Linked DNA regions of Macaca mulatta. The protein of the gene in region 4 purifies or fractionates together with the protein of the main gene of each other region. This does not show direct contact. Links are inferred from orthologs where the notes say so. Each region holds a gene or a part of one and is shown on either strand. Other genes may lie near its edges. The genes, in order: PSME3, CPSF6, C1QBP and RSRP1.

Region 1 (4,990 bases), on a different chromosome or scaffold from region 4:
ACAACATATTAAGTATTACAAGGAATAGGAAAAAAGAACCTATCAAAGCAGGGAAGATAATTAAGGGAATACGTACAAATCTTCTGGTTCCACAAAGGAACACATTATTCAGTCAACAACCATGCATTCAGCAATTGCTATGGACCAGGATCAACACTAGGTGCTGGGAATACAAAGATTAAGATAGTTCCTGCCGACCGACTACGGTGGCTCACGCCTGTAATCCCAGCACTTTGGGAGGCTGAGGCGGGTGGATCACCTGAGGTCAGGAGTTCGAGATCAGTCTGGACAACATGGTGAAACCCTGTCTCCACTAAAAATTTAAAAATTGGCTGGGCTTGGTGGCGCGCATCTGTAATCTCAGCTACATGGAGGCTGAGGTGGGAGAATCACTTGAAACCGGGAGGGGGAGGTTGCAGGAAGCTGAGATCGCGCAACTGCACCCCAGCCTAGGAAACAGAGTGAGACTGTCTCAAAAAAAAAAAAAAAAAAAAAAAGGTAGTTCTTGCCTTCCAGACGTACAAGTTCTGTCAATGAGGCGGTACTACAGACAACAATTCAGTATCATCAGTGTTATAGTAGCATGCGGACACATGACTGATAAGGACTAGCTGTTAAAGATGTACAGCAAAACAGCGATTGCAGTTACACAGCAAGAACTTCATATCCCATAACACTTATCAAGACACAGAAACAAAGTTAAGTCTTGTTCAGAACCATGGGAAAAACCAGGTAACCTGATGAAGCTAGTTCTCTCCTTTTTTTTTTTTTTTTTTGAGACAGAGTCTCGCTCTGTTGCCCAGGCTGGAGTGCAGTGTCATTATCTCGGCTCACTATAAGCTCCGCCTCCTGGGTTCATGCCACTCTCCTGCCTCAGCCTCCCGAGTAGCTGGGACTACAGGCGCCCACAACCACGCCCAGCTAATTTTTTGTATTTTTAGTAGAGATGGGGTTTCACCATGTTAGCAAGGATGGTCTCCATCTCCTGACCTCGTGATCCAACCACCTGAGTCTCCCAAAGTGCTGGGATTACAGGTGTGAGCCACCGCGCCTGGCCAAAGCTAGTTCTCTTTTATTTGAAACTCACTCTAACACTGAGAGTAGCATTAGCACATTCACTTCACATCGTAAATGAAACTCAGGGTCTAAAAGGAATATACCGGAGGCCTCGTGCAGTGACTCACGCCTGTAATCCCAGCATTTTGGGAGGCTGAGGCGGGTGGATTACTTGAGCTCAGTGGTTTGAGACCAGCCTCGGCAACATGGTGAAACCCTGTCTCTACAAAAAATACAAAAATCAGCTGGGCATGGTGGCACACTCCTGTAGTATCAGCTACTTGGCGGGCTGAGGAGGGAGGGTCACTTAAGTTTGGGAGGTCCAGGCTGCAGTGAGCAGTGCTCACGCCACTACACTCCAGCTTGGGCAAAAAAAAGTGACGCCCTTTCTCAAAAATAAATAAATAAATAAGAAATAAAACAACTATACTAGAGTCATCATGTCTGTAACAGTCCTAGTTCCCAGATCCAAATCCCACTGTTGCCTCTGTACATCTTAAACTGACAAGGAAACAGAGGACAGAGGACCTACTGCTCAAGAACACAAAGATAAATATAGGACACTTACACCATCCAGTCCATCATGGCTATTGGTGAGAAGAATGGGGTCAGGGACTGGGAGATTCATGTCAGAGTGGATCTGAGTTAGGTCATGGATGTTTAAAATTGGTTCCTGAAAGACACCCACCCCAAAACATTAATCTTTTCAAGCTGAACAAAGAAGTATTTGATTGAAGAGCAAGAAATGAAAGCGCTTTTACAGTTTAAAAAAATAAAAAGAAGAATCAACACACAATTAGTTCCAGTTGACAGTAATACCAGGGCCAAAAAAATAGGGGAATTTGAGGAAAGAAAAGGGTCTCTCACCTTCAGAAAACTATCAAGTTCTAACAACTTCTTTGGGAAAAAATTTGCCACCAAGTCTTCTGCCTAAGGAGGAGGGAAAATATAGCTGAATTAATATCTGTGGGAAGGTCTCTCTCTCTCTCTCTACAGATATCTCCTCTTTGGGAAACTCTCAACCAACACTCATTTTTCTATTTATTTCACTCACCTCACTTGTGATGCGTTCCCTGAAAGAATCAACCTAAAATTAACAAAGAGAGCAATTCAGTACCTGGAGACAGAGGTAAGAGCAGGATAGAGAATCCCAAATCCAACTGTCTTTCCCTCACCTTGTAACTGTAATAAGAAGCTGAGAGGCCCCCAGACTGCAAATACTTTATTTTTTTGAGGATCCATTTTTCCATCTCAGGAGAAGAAAGCAGGGCTTTGAGGGCAGCACCTGCCTGTCTCCTCTCTCCTCTCCCCTCCCTCCCTCCTGTGTCTGAAGCTGTCTGAATTTGATAAGCAGACAAAAGACAGGTAGTTAGGAAAGATGTGAGCTCACAAACGTGCCAACCCCCACCCAGACCTGGCCTATGATACCAGGCAGGCCAGCCACCAAGGGCAGAGGCAGTGTCCAGGGACGTTGTTGGGCTGGGGGATTTCCAGCTGTCACTGGCCTAAAGCCCTGAGTCCAACACGTGTCCGCGGAGGTGTCCCCGGGACTCTCCATCATCAGACGCGGTACAGAAAGCCATCCTATATTTTCCTCTCCCGCGAAGCCGACCCCGGGAGTTGGGGGCTGGGCTGAGTTGAGCGGAAGCTCAGAGCTGGTATCCCCAGGGAGACAAAGACGACATGGGGAGTAGGAAGCCAGTCAGACTGCTGGGGGATCAAAGCGAGGGGCAAAAAGGCCGGACCGGTGCCGCTACCTTGAGCTTCACTTCCTGATCCACCTTCAGCAACGAGGCCATGGCCGGGCCGGGCCGTGTCCGATCCGCTGGACACCGGAGGCGCTGTGGACTCCAGGGAGGGGGCCGGAGGGACCTGAGAAATCTCGGCTGACCTCGGGACCCGGCCGCCCTCGCTGGCTCACTCACTGCTCGCTTGCTCCCTCCCTCCGTGCCGTCCGCCCGCCCGCCGGCAGCCTGCTGCCTGGTCGCTCTCTCGCTCGCCCTCCCGGCTTTCGCCGCTCACGCCGGAAACTGCGTCACAGCCAATCGCCGAGACTCCTGCGAGGCTGTGCACGTGCGCTGCGCAGCCGCGATGAGACTCGGGTTTGGATGCTCCCCGGGGTAAAGTGTTGGGTAGGGGTGAAGTAAAAAGGAGAGCTGTGGGGAATGGTGCGCTGAGAACTGAGCCTCCGAAAGACTCGGAAACGGTGCGACCCTCTCTGTTGGCCCGGAACTCGCCTTCACCGAAGGGACCTCAGTCGCTGCAGTCCCGGGGACAGCGCCGTCGCGCCCCAGTGACGTAGGCTCGGGGAAGTCGGGGACCCGGGTACTGGGTTCGGGGGTGTAGTCCCTGATTCCCGCTGCCTCTGCCCGTTTGCCGAGGCTCAAGTGTTTAGGCTAGAGCGAAAAACACAAGTGCGGTTGTACCAAGCTTTCCTGGTACATTTCCCTGCCAACTGACTGTCGTAAGCTTCCGGACCTCAAAGATCAACTACCTAATGGGCAAATTGATGCCCAGAGTAGGGCAAGACTTGTCCAAGGCGTTTCCAGTACATCCTGAGCCAGGACCCAGATCTCCTAACTTCTATGGCAGTGCTGTATCTATTTGCCTAATGGAAGCTTAAGACTATACCTCTTCATACACCCATTCATTCGATCTCTCTCTCGACATTGGATATTTCATTCAATAAAATGGGCCAGGGCACTGTCTCAGATTCTAGAAATATGTGAGTTACATATGTAGGTTGAAATCTTCTATTAGCCACAATTAAAAAGTAAAATAAGTGAAAATTTTAGTCATATATTTAACCCAATTTATCCAAGTCCTTCAACATGTAATCAACATTAAAAAATCGAGATCTTATGCATTCTTTTCTCATACCAAGTCTTCAAAATCCAGTGCATATTTTACACTTAACTGCACATCTCAATAAGAAAATAACACATTTACAGTACAGTGCTCAGTAGCCACATGTGGCTGCTGGCTTCTGTATTGAACAGCACAGCTCTGGGAAATCAAAGGCAAACAAGATTCAAGGTTGCTGGTCTCATGGGGCATAATATTGGAAAAACACCAGAAAGTAAACTGACAAAGTAACTGCAAAATTTGATAAATATTAGGAAACAAGTGTATGACATAGAAAATACCAGAGATCTATTTTAGATCGAATGGCCAAGGAAGGCCTCTGAACAAGAGACAAGCTGCGATCTAAAGGACATAAAGGGGTTAGCATGGAAAGAGTGAGAAGAGCCTTGAGACGTATAAGTGCAGCAAATGCTCTAGGGAAGGAAAGAGACTGTCTTGAAGACAAAGACTGGTGAGCTGGGGGTGAGGAGGGTTGTTAGTAAACAATCTAGATTAAGTGCAAAAAGAGGTCATCAGATTTATATTTTGGGGTCGCTCTTGCTGTTGAACATTTATCCTAGACTGGCCTCTCTACTAAGTGCTAGGAGAATGAGGGGAATACACAATTAAATGGAGTAAAGCACAAAAGACTGACTATGGCCTTTGGAATCAGAGACCTGTGCCTCAAATCCCACCTCAGCTCCTTACTAACTGGAATCTTGGGCAAATTATTGAAATCCTGAGTCAATTCCCTCATCTGTAAAATGGAATTTTAATAATTAGTAATAAATAATAGTATGTAATATTGTAGTGTTGTGAATATTAGAAATAATATATGTAAAACAATTAGCACAGTGCTTAGATACAAAATAAATAGTAGCCACTGTCAGATAAGTAACTGATCTGTTAACGCTTAGCATGAAGAGGTTAGTCCTTAAATTACAGTAATTATTTTCATTCCTGCTTTCAAACTCAAAGTCCTTTTCAGCTTATAGAAGGCCACATATAACATAGCTCATACTATCCATCTTGCTCATAAACATCTAACAGTTTTTCCCCTTTTACCTCTGTTTTCTGTTAACACATTTCC
Region 2 (5,219 bases), on a different chromosome or scaffold from region 4:
GCAGTGGCCTGATCTCAGCTCACTGCAACCTCTGCCTCCCAGGTTCAAGCGATTCTCCTGCTCAGCTTCCTGATTAGCTGGGATTACAGGCAGGCACCACCATGCCCGGCCAATTTTTGTATTTTTAATAGAGATGGGGCTTCACCATGTTGGTCAGGCTGGTCTGGAACTCCCGACCTCAAGTGATCTGCCCACCTCGGCCTCCCAAAGTGCTGGGATTACAGGCATGAGCCACCACACTCGTCCTAAACAATTCAACTTTTAAATTATTTAGTTTTGGCCAGAATTTTAAAATCTACATTTACTAAATATTGGGCTAGTAATTACTACACTTGAGTATAAATCCCAGTTTAAACTGAACTGACACACTATTGAGTGTGAGACAGAATCACTTTCTTCTCAACTTCAAGTAATATGGAGGTTTGGAAGACGTTCAAATTGCCCTTCCAACTGTTCTCAACTTGGTGACATCCAAAGACCTCTAAGAATTAAAGAGAACCCATAAGGATTAGTCAGTCCCTTGTGCCTCCTCCCCCTTCATTCTCCATTCTTAAGTTCACCTGGTGAAGAAAAGAACTCTATTAGAGCTTCACTAAATTATTATTCTCAATCTATCCCCAAACAAATTAGTTTCTGCTAAGACTGTTGAATGCCTCACTTTTTTCTACTTCAATAGATGCAAATCACGTTTTGAAACAATATTGTACCTTACCAAAATACAAACAAGCTTCATAAAAGTATGACATTTAAAATATGAGACTCAGCAGGATACAGACAAAAAAATAGTAGAAAATGGAAATAAAGACTATGCCGAATTTCAAAGTACACAAATCCAATTAGAACTGCAGTTTACACTGGAAAACAAAGTTTTTTTTTAATGTTTACAACAGTTTTGAAGCCAAAATAAGTCAAAACTGGCTAATACTTAGGAAAGTATTTTACTCAACAATAAAACAAGAGGTCAAGTCTACTATAGCAACTAGTAGAAATAAGGTCACCAGCTAGTAAAGATTAAATCAGTTGTAAATTATTTTGTGGTTGCCTCTAATGGTGGCAAAATTTTGGAAAAACATTTCAATGACAGTAACATTTTTAAAAGCAGGATAAGCTCTGAAAATAACCAACTATCCTTTTGTGACTTTTTTTTTTTTTTTGGTACAGGAACAACCACAGCAAGCAGTGGTACTGCAAAAAGATATACAAATCAATCAATCATTGATTGGCCAACGATATGCAAAGTAGCAAAAACAATGCCTCTATGTATCCTCGCCATCAATCTATTCAAACATATAAAGATCTTACTGGCAAAATTATACAACTGTGTTAGATATGTGGTACGTACCTTATACAAATCGTTGAAAAGTTACATTTAAAAGGAGTCCCTCATTGGGTCCACAAAACTAATCTCTTCTTACCTCCCACCCAGTCAGCACTTGTTACTGCACAGGGATAACAATCCACCCAGCTATCCGGAAAAGGGAGATGTCCCTCTCAAATTAAGAATGCAAAAGCCCAAACATATTTCATTAAGAGGTACTGAAAAAAGTTTAACTTCTAAAATTGTGTCCCAATTCTTCTTTTATTGTGCATAGAAAGGTGAAGCAAAGTATTCTCTTGTAAGAAAAGCTAACAAGGGCAGCCTTGAACACTTAATCGTTGTTCCTTGCAGTTACGGCCCTCTTCTAAACGCACTGTTACATTCACTTGATAAATAAAAGGAAAAAAATTTCCTAGAGGTCTTATAAGCGTTAGAATCTGTGTTGCAGTCGAGGAATGTATCTGATTTGTAACTGACACAATTCAAGCATTATTATTTAAAACAAGCACAATTTTAAAAACACAAAAATTTAAAAACTTAACCTTTCATTACAATGTATTACATTTAAACAAATCCAGTCTTCAACGGAGTAGCAAACATTTAAAGCCAACTAGTAGTTTTCTGTTTTCTAATATTTAAACCAGAACAAAGTCATTCCTGAAAAATAAAACAGTAAAGAGCTCCTGAGTTTCCTTGTTTTTAAAAAGCCTGAGCAACTAGTCACGAATATGACAGTTAATGGAGGGGGAAAAAAACACATTAAGCCAGTATTATTTTATTAAGCTTCTCATAAGGACCTGGGGAATACAAAAAAATAAAGCTTTTAGGAACACGGCAGTTAGGCACAATTTGTTTTAAATGTGTTACTACATAAAATGCAGTAAAGATACGACCAGCAGGTTCAAACCTTAAACGTCACTACTCTAGCAACAAACGACATCTTTTGCAAGGATGCCCATTATCAGACATCACAGCTCCGCGTTACCTCTAAGCAACGTCGTTCAGGAAAACCTTGCATTCTCACTTTCGCTCAACCTTTCAAAAGGTAATGCAGGGCCGGGGGATTTAACACTTTGTTTTCGAAAACAGGGTCTTATCTACAACTCTATTTTTAAACCACATCATAGGATTTGGGGTGAACGTTCTTTCATTTTAATCACTATGAGACCTGTGGGTGAGCTAACATCTTTTTGTTCCATCCAAACATCGCGCTTCCAATCTTCCTTTAGGTCCCCGGCCACCCATCTTCACAGGTATTTTCATAACAAAGGCCAAAAACGACTGGGCTTCAAAGGCATTGCAAGCCCTGGATTAACAAGGCAGGACCAGCGCACCGACTTTTATCTGTGGCTCCAAAAGTCAAATGACTTGTTGCAAACAAGCCTGCACCTCAGCCGCCTTCAGAAAGTGTGAAGGGAGGAGGAAGGCGCCACGCCGAAACCTGTCGCAAACCCGAGGAGAGCCCCAGGGACTGGGCGCGCGGGATACAAAGGGCCGTGAATGCGGCCTTCCATGAGGCGATAGTGCGCGGGTAGGGAGACAAAATGGAGCAATGGGAGGAATCTGAGCCCGAGCGGCAGCGGCGGGGAAGGGGCGGCGGCGGCGGGCGCGCGCCCTGCCGGGGCTTCCTCCTCCGGCCGGCGACGGGGGAGGGGGCGCGGCGGTGGCCAGTTCTCTCCGCCGCTTACACGCGGCCCCACCGCCCGGGCCTAGCGCGGCGGGAAGCGCCAGCCGGGTGCCGCCAACAATAGGGAGCGAGGCAGCGCCGGCGAGGGAGGAGCCGGCGGCAGCTGCACAGCCGCCCGCATCCGCGCTCCGGGCCCCGCGACGGGTCGCCGCGCCCGCGGCCCGTGAAACGACGCGGTAGAACGAAGGGCGGGGGGGGGGCCGCCACGCCGGGGGTCGGCGGCGCGGCCCAGAGGCGGCAAGGGCGCATAGTCTGCAGTCGCTTCGGCTCGCGGCCGCAGCGGGCCCCGGGTCAGCGTCCCAGCCGCAGCGCCGCCCGCATGGGCGACGGGGACCCGGGCTCTCACGTACCTGGTTGAACTCTTCGCCCACATCCGCGTAAATGTCTATGTGGTCCACGCCGTCCGCCATCTTCCCTCAGCCTCGGCCGCCACCGCCGCCGCCGCCGCCGCCTCCTCCTGCAGGTCCGCCCGCCGCGGCAGCAGCAGCGGATCTAGCGGCGGTGGGGGGCGCTTGCGTCACTTCCGAGGCCCGAGGGATGGAGGCGGGAGCGACAGGGGCCGGCCGGGGGCGGGGACTGTGCAACCCAGCCGCTCGGCTGGCTGAGGAAAGGCTGCTCCTCTAAGGGCAGAGGGCGTTTCTTTTGTGTCTGGGTGAGGCCCGGGAGTGGGGGGCAATTTCTTTGTCCTCCTCGCGCATCCAGTTTACCAGTGGGTCCCACCTGTTTCCACACATCGTCTTTTCACGTGGCCTCTGCCATACTCAAACGTTTTGTTAATATTTTCATTTATCCGTTTTTCTTACCTTTCACACATGCAGGACTTCTAAAGGTGGAAGTTATATGTTCATGGTTAAATACAAAGTGTAACCCCCGGGCATTCTGTGAGCGGCTTAAGGCCAAAAACAATGTGTTGTTTCTGCATCCTCAGAGACAAGCAGAATTTTATTTGCATGTAAACGCTAGATACCCGTCAGTGGTTATATTTGCACGCTGTTTATGTTGCCATTTCCATCTCTAATCTTCATGGGCTTCTTTCCTCTCCCCTTCTTCTCGCATTCATTGCCCTTCATTTTTTCTTCCTTAGATCTACAGTAGGTTGTCTCTGGCATAGTTCAGATGCTTCTAAAATGAATGCAGTCATCTTAGAGCACACCCAAGAGAGTGGAGGTCTCTTGAGGCCAGGGGCTTCTTTCTCAGAATCCTAGAATGTCCCAGCGGGAAGGGAACTGGAAAGGTGTCCTTAGGTCCAAACATCTCATTTTACAGAGGAGAAGACTGAAGCCTAATAGAACCTAAGTGATTTAACCAGGTCACATGGTCAATAAAGGTAGGAACATTCAGCCACGATACTTTACTCAAGGATGTCTCTCCAGTTTGAAACTTTCCCCTCCGTTCTTTATTTCTTTTTCACTCATTAAGAAATATACTATAGTAGAGCGTGTTTCCTGAGAAACTGGCGAGAAATCATCCATAGAATAACCCAAACAACATCTGTAAGGTTGGGCATCTCTAATCCAACAATTTGAAACGCTCCAAAATCTGAAACTTTTTGTGCACTGACATGATGCCGCAAGTGAAAAATTCCACACCTGATCTTATGTGCCAGGTTGCAGTCAAAATGCAATCAAAACTCAAAATAACTAAAAATATTGTATGACATAATCTTCAGGCTATGTGTATAAGGTGTATGTGAAACATAAATGAATTTCGTTTAGACTTGGGTCCCATCCCCTAGATATCTTATGTATACACAAATATTCCAAAATCCACCAAAATCCAAAATCCAAACACTTCCAGTCCCAAGCATTTTGCATAAAAAAGACTCAATCTGCACTTGGTATGGTGGAAAAAGCTTGGTTGCAGTCATGGAGACCAGATCTGGGTACCCATTTCTAATCAGACATTTTATCAGCTAAATGACCTCAGTCAAGTTTTCAACTCTCATAATCAATCTCAGAATCTTTAAAATCCAGGCAATAATATCTACCTCACCAAGGTTGAAGGTTGGTGATACTTTAAATGAGTTAATATGAGTTAATATGCAAAGTGCCCTGTCCTGTTCCAAGAATCAGTACTTAAATACTGATTCACTTTCTTTCATAGGGCGTTATAGAAGAAAAGAGACACTGAAGTTTAAAGATGAGAGCATTTTCTAGATTGGTGGTGTGGTAGAATGATGGCCCACCATAGATGTTCATATTCTTATCCCTGAAA
Region 3 (5,040 bases), on a different chromosome or scaffold from region 4:
GCTGCCACGCCCTCCCTGGGCCACCACCCTCCAGGAACCTCCGCGTATTCAGCTATCAGAGGCTCTCCAAACCCTGTCCTTGGGTTTTTATGGAAGCTTCTGGACCTATCTAAATGATACAAGCCGGCTTCTTGTCCCCAGAAAAATGATGTTCCATTAGAACTTGGATGCAGGGTCGGAGGTGCAGAGAGGGAAGGTCACAGAAATTACTCATGGATCCTGCCCTTCAGGATGTCACAGTCTGGTTGGGTTTAACCCGGTTAAAACCAGCAATGCCAGGAGGTTTCTGTTGAAAAGAGAATGAAGCCTAAGGGCTGGGTGCGCACAAGCATGAGTTCTAAGCCGATGGAAAAAAGGAGGTTCTAGGAAGGCCTCTTTCAGGAAAACCCTGACTTCTTCCTTTGCTCTTACAACAATCAGCACAGAAGAGTTCTGTGACCAAAGGTTTGGGTTTTTTCCCTCCACACTAAGCAGCAGACACGAGCGGGGTGTCCTCCAATTCAATCCCAACATTATCTACCTGGAGACAGTGTCAGATCCCATGAGACAGTGTCAGATCCCATAGGTTGAGGGCTCAGTCCCCAAGACCGCCCCGACCTTCAGACAGCAATGGCAAGTCTGGGCCTCTGAAACTTCCGACCAGCCCGCTTCAAGTGGGGGTTCCCACGACCCCCCTCTTTGGGTTGTATTAACTCACTGGAGCAGCTCACAGAACTCAGGGAAACACTTTTACCGGTTTCATATAAAGGATATTACCAAGGATACAGATGAGATGAGCAGGGTGGGCAGTGGGGAAGAAGCTCCGAGCTTCCTCGCCGTCCCTGGGCCACCACCCTCCAGGAACCTCCACGTATTCAGCTATCAGAGGTTCTGCAAACCCTGTCCTCATGGGTTTTTATGGAAGCTTCTGGACATCAGCATCCCTTCCCCCAGGGTAGAGGGTGGGACCTTCTCTGGGAAGGGACTTAAGACCCATAATCAGAAATGTGGGAGATTAGAGTCCTGCATTGGGGCGGGTGAAAGGAGGGCGGGAGAAGGGGAGAGTGAGAGTCTGTTTCCTGAGGCCTAACACACCCAACATTATCACAGAACACTGTAACGAGGGCTATGGGAGTTACGACCCAGGAACTGGGGATGAAAACCAATAAATACATAATATAACACCACAGCCTCCTAGAGGAAAGTGACCGTGTAAGGGGCTGGTGAGAGCTGGGGGAAGACAAGAGTGCATTCCACACAGCCCAAAAGCCTGGCGTGCCTTGAAAACAGTAGGTGGAAGCGGCCACTAGAAATAATTAAACAGCTTCGGACAGAGGACTCAGGCCAGCGCAGCAAGAAGGCTCCGGAAACCGGATTCGAGGCTTCCCGGGCTGCACAGGAGGCCTCCAGCAGAAGGCGCGATTCCGCCTGGGGCCTTAGGTCCTCAGTGCGCCGGCGCGGGAAGCGCTTCCGGGCAAGGGCGGGGCTTCCGGCGGCGCTTTAGGTCGCGGGGTACTTGGGCCTGGGTTGTCCTTTGCATCTGCACGTGTTCGCAGTGGATTGCGCGATGCTACCTCTGCTGCGCTGCGTGCCTCGTGTGCTGGGCTCCGCCGTCCCCAGCCTCCGCGCTGCCGCGCCCGCCTCGCCTTTCCGGCAGCTCCTGCAGCCGGCGCCCCGGCTGTGCGCCCGGCCCTTCGGGCTGCTCAGCGTGCGCACAGGTTCCGAGCGGCGGCCGGGCCTCCTGCGGCCTCGAGGACCCTGCGCCTGTGGCTGTGGCTGCGGCTTGCTGCACACTGAAGGTGAGGTTCGCGCACGCGGGCCAGGGGTGTGGTTTGCGGTTCACGGAGGGGAAAAGACCAGGAGTGGGGCCTGCAACCGACCTCCGAGGTCTGGGACATTTTTCCATTGATTGGCAACCAGCGGGTTAAACCCACGTGTGATCATATTCCCCCCACCTCCCCTATCCACCAGTTTCATTTTCTGTTGGTAGGGGGGTGAATAAAATTAAATACTAGAGGGTACCTTCATCCTTAGTCTTATTCTCTCGAAAGTGGACTTTTGGGAAAGCCCAAGGTCGTGTTTGAAAATAGCATACGATACAACTATCGTTTGGCAAGTGGAAGAGGATGATCGGAAATTCTTCTGCTTTATAGCGGAAAGTGGTAATGCGTTCATTGTTGGAAATCACTTTTCCAGCATCAGGCTCAGCTTCCCACTAATATTATGGTATTTTTACAGATAAGGAAACTGAGGCTTCTAGAGTAACTGTAATAGCAGAGAGATTAGAAATAGTCCAGGTTTCTGGCTGCGATAACCAGGGTAATAGTTTTATGTTTTAGACTAACTGGCTTTCCTTTTTATGTATATGGATTTCTTTTCTAGGAGACAAAGCTTTTGTTGATTTCCTGAAGGATGAAATTGAGGAGGAAAGAAAAATCCAGAAGCATAAAACCCTCCCTAAGATGTCTGGAGGTTGGGAGCTGGAACTGAATGGGACAGAAGCGAAATTAGTGCGGAAAGTTGCCGGGGAAAAGTAAGTACTGGTCTGGGGATCCCAGGGCACCGACTCCCTTAACCTTGCAAGACCCGTCCTGAGTCATCCCTAGAAGAGCCTTGAGTTCAGGTGTGGATAAATGGTTTTCAAGAGAGTGAAGGATTCAATTGGACAGCTTCATAAGGTCCAGGCAGTCCATTCACTGAACACAAATTTGCTGTGGGCTGGTTACTAAGGAGACAAAAATGTAGCGCAAAAAAGTACTGACAGAATCTGTTTGATCTCTGATTTACAGCCCTGATACAGTAGCACCCTGCTCTCTGTAATGTTTAGCTTGGGTGAAAATGCAAGGCATGTAACTTATATGTAACAGGATGGGGTTCCACTGTAGATAAGGGCTGCCATCAGAGGCGGGGAGTTTGTGACCTAAGTCAGGTGCCCCACCTTCTCCTAAACTGTTAGTGTTTACACTTTTCTGCTTTATAGTCATCCATAATCTCATTACACAGATAAACATTTGTCATCTTCCAGATTTTTAAATTGAGGCTGGGTGCAGTGGCTCACGCCTATAATCCCAGCACTTTGGGAGGCAGAGACGGCAGATCATGAGGTCAGGAGATCGAGAACATCCTGGCTAACACTGAAACCCTGTCTCTACTAAAAATTTTAACAGGGTGTGGTGGCAAGCACCTGTAGTCCCAGCTACTCAGGAGGCTGAGGCAGGAGAATCGCTTGAACCCCCGGGTTTCAGTGAGCCGAGATGGCGCCACTGTACTCCAGCCTGAGGGACAGAGCAAGACTCCATCTCAAAAAAATAATAAATAAATAAATAAATTGAATTTTCTTTATAATTGACCTTATGATGTATATATAATTCTTTTTTAAAATCACAGCTTTAATGTGATTTAATTTATATGGCATAAAATTTACCCATTTATTGAAGTTTATTAAATTAAGTGGTTCTTAGTCCTCACAGAATTATGCATCGGTTACCACTACCTAATTCTAGAACATTGTTGTCAATCCCCAAACAATACCTATTAGCAGTCACTCATTATTCCTCCCTCTAGCCACCCCAGGTAATCACTAAGCTACTTTATGGATTGCCTCTTTTGGACATTTCATATAAATGGAATCATACAATTTGTAGCTTCCTCCCCACCCCACGGAGTCTTGCTATTACCCAGGATGGAGTGCAGTGGCACGATCTTGGCTCACTGCAGCCTCTGCCTCCCGGATTCGGACAATTCTCCTGCTTCAGCCTCCTGAGTAGCTGAGATTACAGGCATGCGTCCAGTTAATTTTTGTATTTTTAGTAGAGATGGGGTTTCGCCATGTTGGCCAGGCTGGTCTCAAACTCCTGACCTCGTGATCCGCCCTCCTCGGTCTCCCAGAGTGCTGTGATTACAGGTGTGAGCCACCCTGCCCAGCCTGTTTACATTTTTAATTGTTGGGTTGTAAGAGTTCTTTAGTTTTGACCGGGCACGGTGGCTCACACCTTTAATCCCAGCACTTTGGGAGGCCGAGGCAGGTGGATCACAAGGTCAGGAGATCAAGACCATCCTGGGTAATGCAGTGAAACCCTGTCTCTACTAAAAGTACAAAAAATTAGCCAGGTGTAGTGGCGGGCGCCTGTAGTCCCAGCTACTCAGGAGGCTGAGGCAGGAGAATGGCATGAAGCCCAGAGGCAGAGGTTGCAGTGAGCCGAGATCACGTCACTGCACTCCAGCCTGGGCGACAGAGTGAGACTCTGTCTCAAAAAAAAAAGAATTCTTTAGTTTTTCTGGGTATAGTGATCTTACCAAATTAATGATTTGCAAGTATTGTTCCCCATCTTGTGGGTTTTCTTTTCACTTTCTTTGTAATGCCCTCTGACACAAAAGTTTCTGATTTTGAGGAAGTTCAGTTTACCTATTTTTTTGGTTGCTTGTGCTTTTTTTAGTGTCACATCTAAGAAACCACTGCCTCGCCCAAGGTTGTGAAGATTTATGCCTTAATTTTTTCAGAGTTTTCTAGTTTTAGCTCTTAGTTGAGGTCTGTGATTCATTTTGAGTATGATGTGAAGTAGGGTACCAATTCTCTTGGCTATTGTGTAGTGTGGTTTTTCCCTACACAGGTCAATTGTGTCTTCTGTAATCTCACCTAAAAACCATTTGCACAAGGTTTTCATAGCTATTTGGGGGCCATTAAAAATAATGCTCTGACGAACATCATTCCATTTCTGTGCCCAGGAGCTCAGCTTGGTCAGCACAGTTGGAATCAGACAGATTGTGTCAACCTCAGACTGCCTCTGTTACTATGGAAAGGTGACTTCCTGGCAAAGCAGCTAGTTAGCACAAGTCGAGGGGGCGGTACTTCATGGAACTTGTATGGAACGGTGCCTGCCAGAGTTGCATAGTCCAGCAGTTCTGGTTCTAAACTTTATCTCCCAGGAATTTTGACTCAAACTTTGGGACATGATTTGTCAGGTGTGGATTCTTGCACCTTAAAATTGTCGCTAGTTGGTGTCTCTGGCCTGCTTTGTGATGATAAAACTTCCCACAAGTACTCTGAAGGATGACTGTCTA
Region 4 (5,064 bases):
AAGCTAATTCGCTAGTTCATCAGCTGCTATTTTCTCTTTCTTTTTTTTTTTTTTTTTTTTTTTCTGAGACAAAGTTTCACTCTGGCTGGAGTGCAGTGGTGCAATCTCGGCTCACTGCAACCTGTGCCTCCTGGGTTCATGTGATTCTCGTGCCTCAGCCTGCCCAGTAGGTAGCTGGGATTACAGGTGTGTACCACCACGCCTGGCTAATTTTTGTATTTTTGATAGAGACAGGGTTTTGCCAGGTTGGCCAGGCTAGTCTTAAACTCCTGGCCTCAAGTGATCCACCCGCCTCAGCCACCCAAAGTGCTGGGATAACACGTATGGGTCACCATGCCCAGCCTTTTTTACTTTCTTTTTTTTTAAGACAGAGTCTTGTTCTGTCACCCAAGCTGGTGTGCAGTAGCACTGGCGCAATCTTAGCTCACTGCAACTTCCGCCTCCCAGGTTCAACTGATCTTGTGCCTCAGCCTCCTGAGTAGCTAGGATTATAGGCAGCGGCCACCACACCCAGCTAATTTTTGTATTTTTAGTAGAGATCAGGTTTCACCATGTTGAAGACGCTAGTCTTGAACTCCTGGCTTCCGGTGATCTGCCTGCCTCAGCCTCCCAAAGTGCTGGGATTACAGGTGTGAGCCACTGTGCCCCACTAGCAGCTGCTATTTTCAATTGACCATTGGTGTCATTTTGGGAAACGAAAACACTTTGAATTGATTCAAAAGTACGTGATTGTCTCATCCCAGACTTGTTAGATTCAATGTCTGTATGTTTTTTCACATCCCCTTCTCCACCATGCCCAACCGCAAATTCTTTTCTGCATATTGTGCAGTATGCTCTGTTTGGGTTACTTACCTCCCTAATCCAGCTGTATGTGTCCTTCCATCTGTCATTAAAATAACATAGCCGTTTATGTTAAACAGCTTTGGTATTGTCTAGGTCACACTGGTGTTGGTATTGTACTTGTCATTAGTTTCATTATCTGAACTCTAAGAAAACATGGTCACAATTCACAAAGTTTACTGTCTATCTACATACAAAGCACACAGTTAAGTAGACTGTTAACACTCAAGATTAGGACTCACACTGTACATAGTTAGAACTTAAAATTGCTCTGAGAGGATGCAACAATGGATGATCCATTATTGTGAACCACAAGTCATGGCTGCCAATTCAGAGGTTAACAGAAGGCAGACCATAGCCATATTCACTTAAGGGTTGTCTTCAGTCTCTTTTTGGGTGGGGGGAGGCACTATACAGTTTTTGTGTTCCTCCCATCCCCAACTTTCCTCACTCATTGCTGAAAATCAGGACTTTTTGCACTCAGGAGTTTCCTAGAATGTGGGACTTTCAGGGACAGTTCCAGGCTCACCAAAAGTAAAGTTCATTCCCCTCCCATTTTCATGGGTGAGAGCCTGTTTACTATTTCCAGATCTGCTACTTTGACTTTAACAAATTATATTTAGCCTTTCTGAGAAGTATAGAAGTTAAATCAAATAAAAAATTTTAACCAGATCTTTTGGAAGGTTTTGTTTGGATACACCTGAAGTACTTACCTCGAACTTTGTGGCATATAGTACAGCTGTTGCACAGTTTGTTTCTTTAACGATAGGAACAGTTCTGAGACCATCTGGCAAGTCAGGGTTGGCTATTCCTAAAGATTTAGCTGGGCTGGCTTTTGCTATTTCTAGCAGCTCCATTTTATCTACAAAAGACAAACATTCATTAAGTCCCAAAAACGTAAAGAATGACAAATTAAGCATTTATCTTATTAATGAGAGTAATATAAAGATGTTCACTCATGTTTATAAATATTTGACAATCATGTTAAGGTCAGTAAAGATAAAAAAGGGTAGGGGCAAAAAACACAAAGAGAAAGGAGAGTTAATATCTTTTCTCCCGCAGTCATTAGCTTATTAAAAGCTGAAATCAAGGTTTGTTTAAAGCTGCTCAGAGCTGGTAAACTAATGTTAAGTCATTAACAGGAATTTAAAAGGTTTCATTAAGAACTGCCTGCACTAGATTCCTCCATCCTGAGACATTAAACAATCACGATAAACCTCCTGAGTGGTAAGAACGTGTCCATTTAAAAATAGGATATAGATTATACTATGTAGTTTTATCTACTAATCGGTTAATGCCCCCCCACCGAAAACAAACAAACAAAAAACCCAAAGGGATATAAGTTTCATCCATCAAAGGAAACAACAGTCATCATGGTTTCCATCCCATTCATATACTGCCGCCGTACATGTAAATCAGATGAACCTGCGCGTAGCTCTTAACAAGTGACCCACCTTTTTAACTTAAGTGAAAGGAGGTTCTGCTCCGGGACCTCTTCCTGGATCTCTCCCTCCACCCTCTGTGTTCTTTCGGGTGCACCATAGGGTCAAAGCCGCAGCAACGCCGTCTCTGTGTGATCGCATAATGCCCTTCTGTAGCACGACCTTCCCCCGAGAGTGACCAGCTACCGGACAGGCACCACGGAGGGGTACCGAGCACCTCCCGGACCGGCGGCTGCAGGATCGCGAGTGCCTCCGCTAGGAAGACCGCACGTTGCCCCTGTGCTTCCTCCGGTGGCGCCTTCTGCAACGACACCTCGACCCTGCTCCCTCTCTGGGGCTGGATCTGACTCCTCGACGGCGATCCCAGACGCGAGACCCAAACTGACGGCTTCCAGAAGAGGGGCCAGCCCGGCCACAAGTCGTTCACGTAGCTAACACATCATTGCTTCCGGCTTCTTACCGTCCTCCCCTTTGTAAATGGTCACCTCCCGAAAACCCAGGCTCTCCTCCAACAGTGGTTCTCAAGCGAGGCGATCTTCCCCGAGGGGGAGGATATTTGGCAAAGTCTGGGGACATTTTTGGTTCACTGGGGCTGCTACTTGCATCTACCGGGTAGAGACGGGGGATGCAGTTACACATTCTAAGCAGCACGGGACATTACCCTTCCCAACCCAGACAGAATGAGCCGGCCCAAAACGTCAGTAGTGCCCAGGCTGAGAAACCCTGCCTTAAACAAACAGCAAAGAAAGGCCAAGTCCCATAAGTGGGTCACCGCGCCGGGACCGGGGTCCACGGGACACCCCAGCCACACCGAGCTGGGAAGTCCCCGCCTCCTGGAGCTGAACCCGCCCCTCTACCAGAGGTGGAACCGCGAGGGGGCGGGAACAGGCACGGAGAAAATAAACAAGACTAAAAAGTCCTGAGTAGCGCTGTGTGGCTGCAAACCGGAACCCAACTTTTGCACCACATGGGACCCGGCACTCTTCCTGCCACCCACACCTGAGACGGCTGGGGGGCCGACCCCAGTACTAGAAAACACTCGTCACCTCAATCAAGACGGGTACAAAGGCCAACGGATACCTTCCTTTAGAAAGCTCAGCACACAGAGCAACTTCTCACGCCTACCCTCGAAGGGCGTACTCCAAGCTAGCACTTCCGACGTCCAGCTGTGATCCCAAAGCTGCGGAAAGCCCCGCCAGCGAGCGCCCGGGCCTGCGCAGACGCGTTGGCGTGGTGGGCGGGGCTCCCTCCGGACCCGGCGTCCCGCCCTCCGCCCCGTGTCCGCATGCGCGGCTGAGCCGCGGGGGTGGTACTGCTGCATCCGGGTGTCTGGAGGCCGTGGACGTTTTGTTTTCTTGGCTGAAACCGGTGGAGTGAGGCAGCTGCGCGCGGCGCTACACCGGGCTCCGGAACCACTGCACGACGGGGCTGGACGTAAGTGTCGGGCGGGGAATGGGGGCAGGAGAGGAGCGGCTTCAAGGCTGGAGAGGCCTCGGAGCCGGGACCGTCTGACGGGTTGGTGCCTACAGCACAGGCTCGTTGCCGCCACCCTCCGGGAAGCCGCAGACCGGGGCTGAGCCCCTGCAGACCTCTCCTCTCCTGGGTCCTGCGGCGCCTGGAGAAGGCGACCGCGTCCAGACCCGCCAAGACGGAGACGGGACCGCGCCCTCCCCCAGGACATCCCAGGATTCTTGGAAATACCCCGGTCCCCCACTTTACAGCTGGACAGGCCGAAGCTCCGAGAAAGGAGCGTGGCCCGTCCGGCTCCCTCAGCGAGGGGCGGCCGGGCTGAAGGTGGCTCCCCCATCTTCCAGCCGCGTCCCTCGAGACCTAAAATTCCCAGAGTTTGGAGGGCGGGGTCTGGCTTGAGCGTGCCAGTCGTCGTGCAAGAAAAATGGATTCGGGGCGGGGCCATTGGGATGAACCGAAAGTAACACTGGATTGCAGTTCTTCCCGGGGAAGAATCGAATGAGTGAATTTCCTAAATTGAACTTGTCCCAAAGACATCTTAGCACTGGCTGTAATCATGTATTTTAATATTTAATTTTTGAAAGAAGTTAAAAATGGGAGACGTTGCTCTTTTTTAGGGTGTCATATTTTTGGACAACTATAATTGCTGGCTGCAGAGTAATTTAAGGGACTCAAGTTCGCTGTAGGAATTAGGGTGTTCTCAAGTTATACGTATTTCAGGTTTTTTCATACTCTGAAATAGAGATAACATGGCTGTGTCTCAAGTCAGGTCTGTACAGCTCGGCTTACAGGAGTGTTTTATGTAATTTGTAAAGACAGTTTGGGTCTGCTATATTTAAATAGTTGGATTTTTGTAATCTGAATTAATATTAATCACAATTTTGTGCATTTTTTTGGCTGGAAACACCCTTTAGGATCAGAGATAGGGATATTAAAATCAAGTGGATGTTCTTTACATAGAAATGACACCAAAAGGCAGGCTTGCAGAAAGAAAAACAGTGAAGTGAATGAAGTGAAGGGAAATGATGTGGGTAGAGGTAAGAACTGCAGTGCAATGTTTAATTTCTTAATTTAGGTGTGAAGAAACACACGTTCTGTGATAAAATATGTAAATTAGAGAATTATTTTTCATTTGAATCTGTACTTCCACATAGAGCCACAGTTTATCACTTGTCTCTCTACTAATGTTAGTACTCCTAGGCTGTAAATATCAAAGTCATCTAATAAGTTTGGAATCAAAATGATACAAAAGAGCTCTTGTGGATTAGTAATCATATACTTGATATTAAAAGTACCACCTAAACTAATTCAA

What was found.
Region 1: the proteins of RSRP1 (region 4) and PSME3 purify together in Homo sapiens (affinity purification with mass spectrometry; 3 studies listed by BioGRID and IntAct, counting the BioPlex papers as one, with this or other methods). This does not show direct contact. The link is inferred for Macaca mulatta from reciprocal best matches to the Homo sapiens genes RSRP1 and PSME3.
Region 2: the proteins of RSRP1 (region 4) and CPSF6 purify together in Homo sapiens (affinity purification with mass spectrometry; 3 studies listed by BioGRID and IntAct, with this or other methods). This does not show direct contact. The link is inferred for Macaca mulatta from reciprocal best matches to the Homo sapiens genes RSRP1 and CPSF6.
Region 3: the proteins of RSRP1 (region 4) and C1QBP purify together in Homo sapiens (affinity purification with mass spectrometry; 3 studies listed by BioGRID and IntAct, counting the BioPlex papers as one, with this or other methods). This does not show direct contact. The link is inferred for Macaca mulatta from reciprocal best matches to the Homo sapiens genes RSRP1 and C1QBP.

Annotation. Positions count from the first base shown.
Region 1 is NC_133421.1:67,182,765-67,187,754, reverse strand, and holds the start of PSME3 (proteasome activator complex subunit 3), read right to left. Parts: upstream 3,091-4,990; 5' UTR 2,856-3,090; coding exon 2,814-2,855; exon of another isoform or gene 2,307-2,813; coding exon of another isoform or gene 2,232-2,306; intron 2,144-2,231; coding exon 2,111-2,143; intron 2,021-2,110; exon of another isoform or gene 1,987-2,020; coding exon 1,924-1,986; intron 1,730-1,923; coding exon 1,625-1,729; intron 1-1,624. UniProt on the Homo sapiens protein: Subunit of the 11S REG-gamma (also called PA28-gamma) proteasome regulator, a doughnut-shaped homoheptamer which associates with the proteasome. 11S REG-gamma activates the trypsin-like catalytic subunit of the proteasome but inhibits the chymotrypsin-like and postglutamyl-preferring (PGPH) subunits.
Region 2 is NC_133416.1:76,356,804-76,362,022, reverse strand, and holds the start of CPSF6 (cleavage and polyadenylation specificity factor subunit 6), read right to left. Parts: upstream 3,500-5,219; 5' UTR 3,416-3,499; coding exon 3,356-3,415; intron 1-3,355. UniProt on the Homo sapiens protein: Component of the cleavage factor Im (CFIm) complex that functions as an activator of the pre-mRNA 3'-end cleavage and polyadenylation processing required for the maturation of pre-mRNA into functional mRNAs.
Region 3 is NC_133421.1:6,938,873-6,943,912, reverse strand, and holds the start of C1QBP (complement component 1 Q subcomponent-binding protein, mitochondrial), read left to right. Parts: upstream 1-1,493; 5' UTR 1,494-1,546; coding exon 1,547-1,778; intron 1,779-2,361; coding exon 2,362-2,512; intron 2,513-5,040.
Region 4 is NC_133406.1:215,691,860-215,696,923, reverse strand, and holds the start of RSRP1 (arginine/serine-rich protein 1), read right to left. Parts: upstream 3,505-5,064; 5' UTR 2,295-3,504; intron 1-2,294.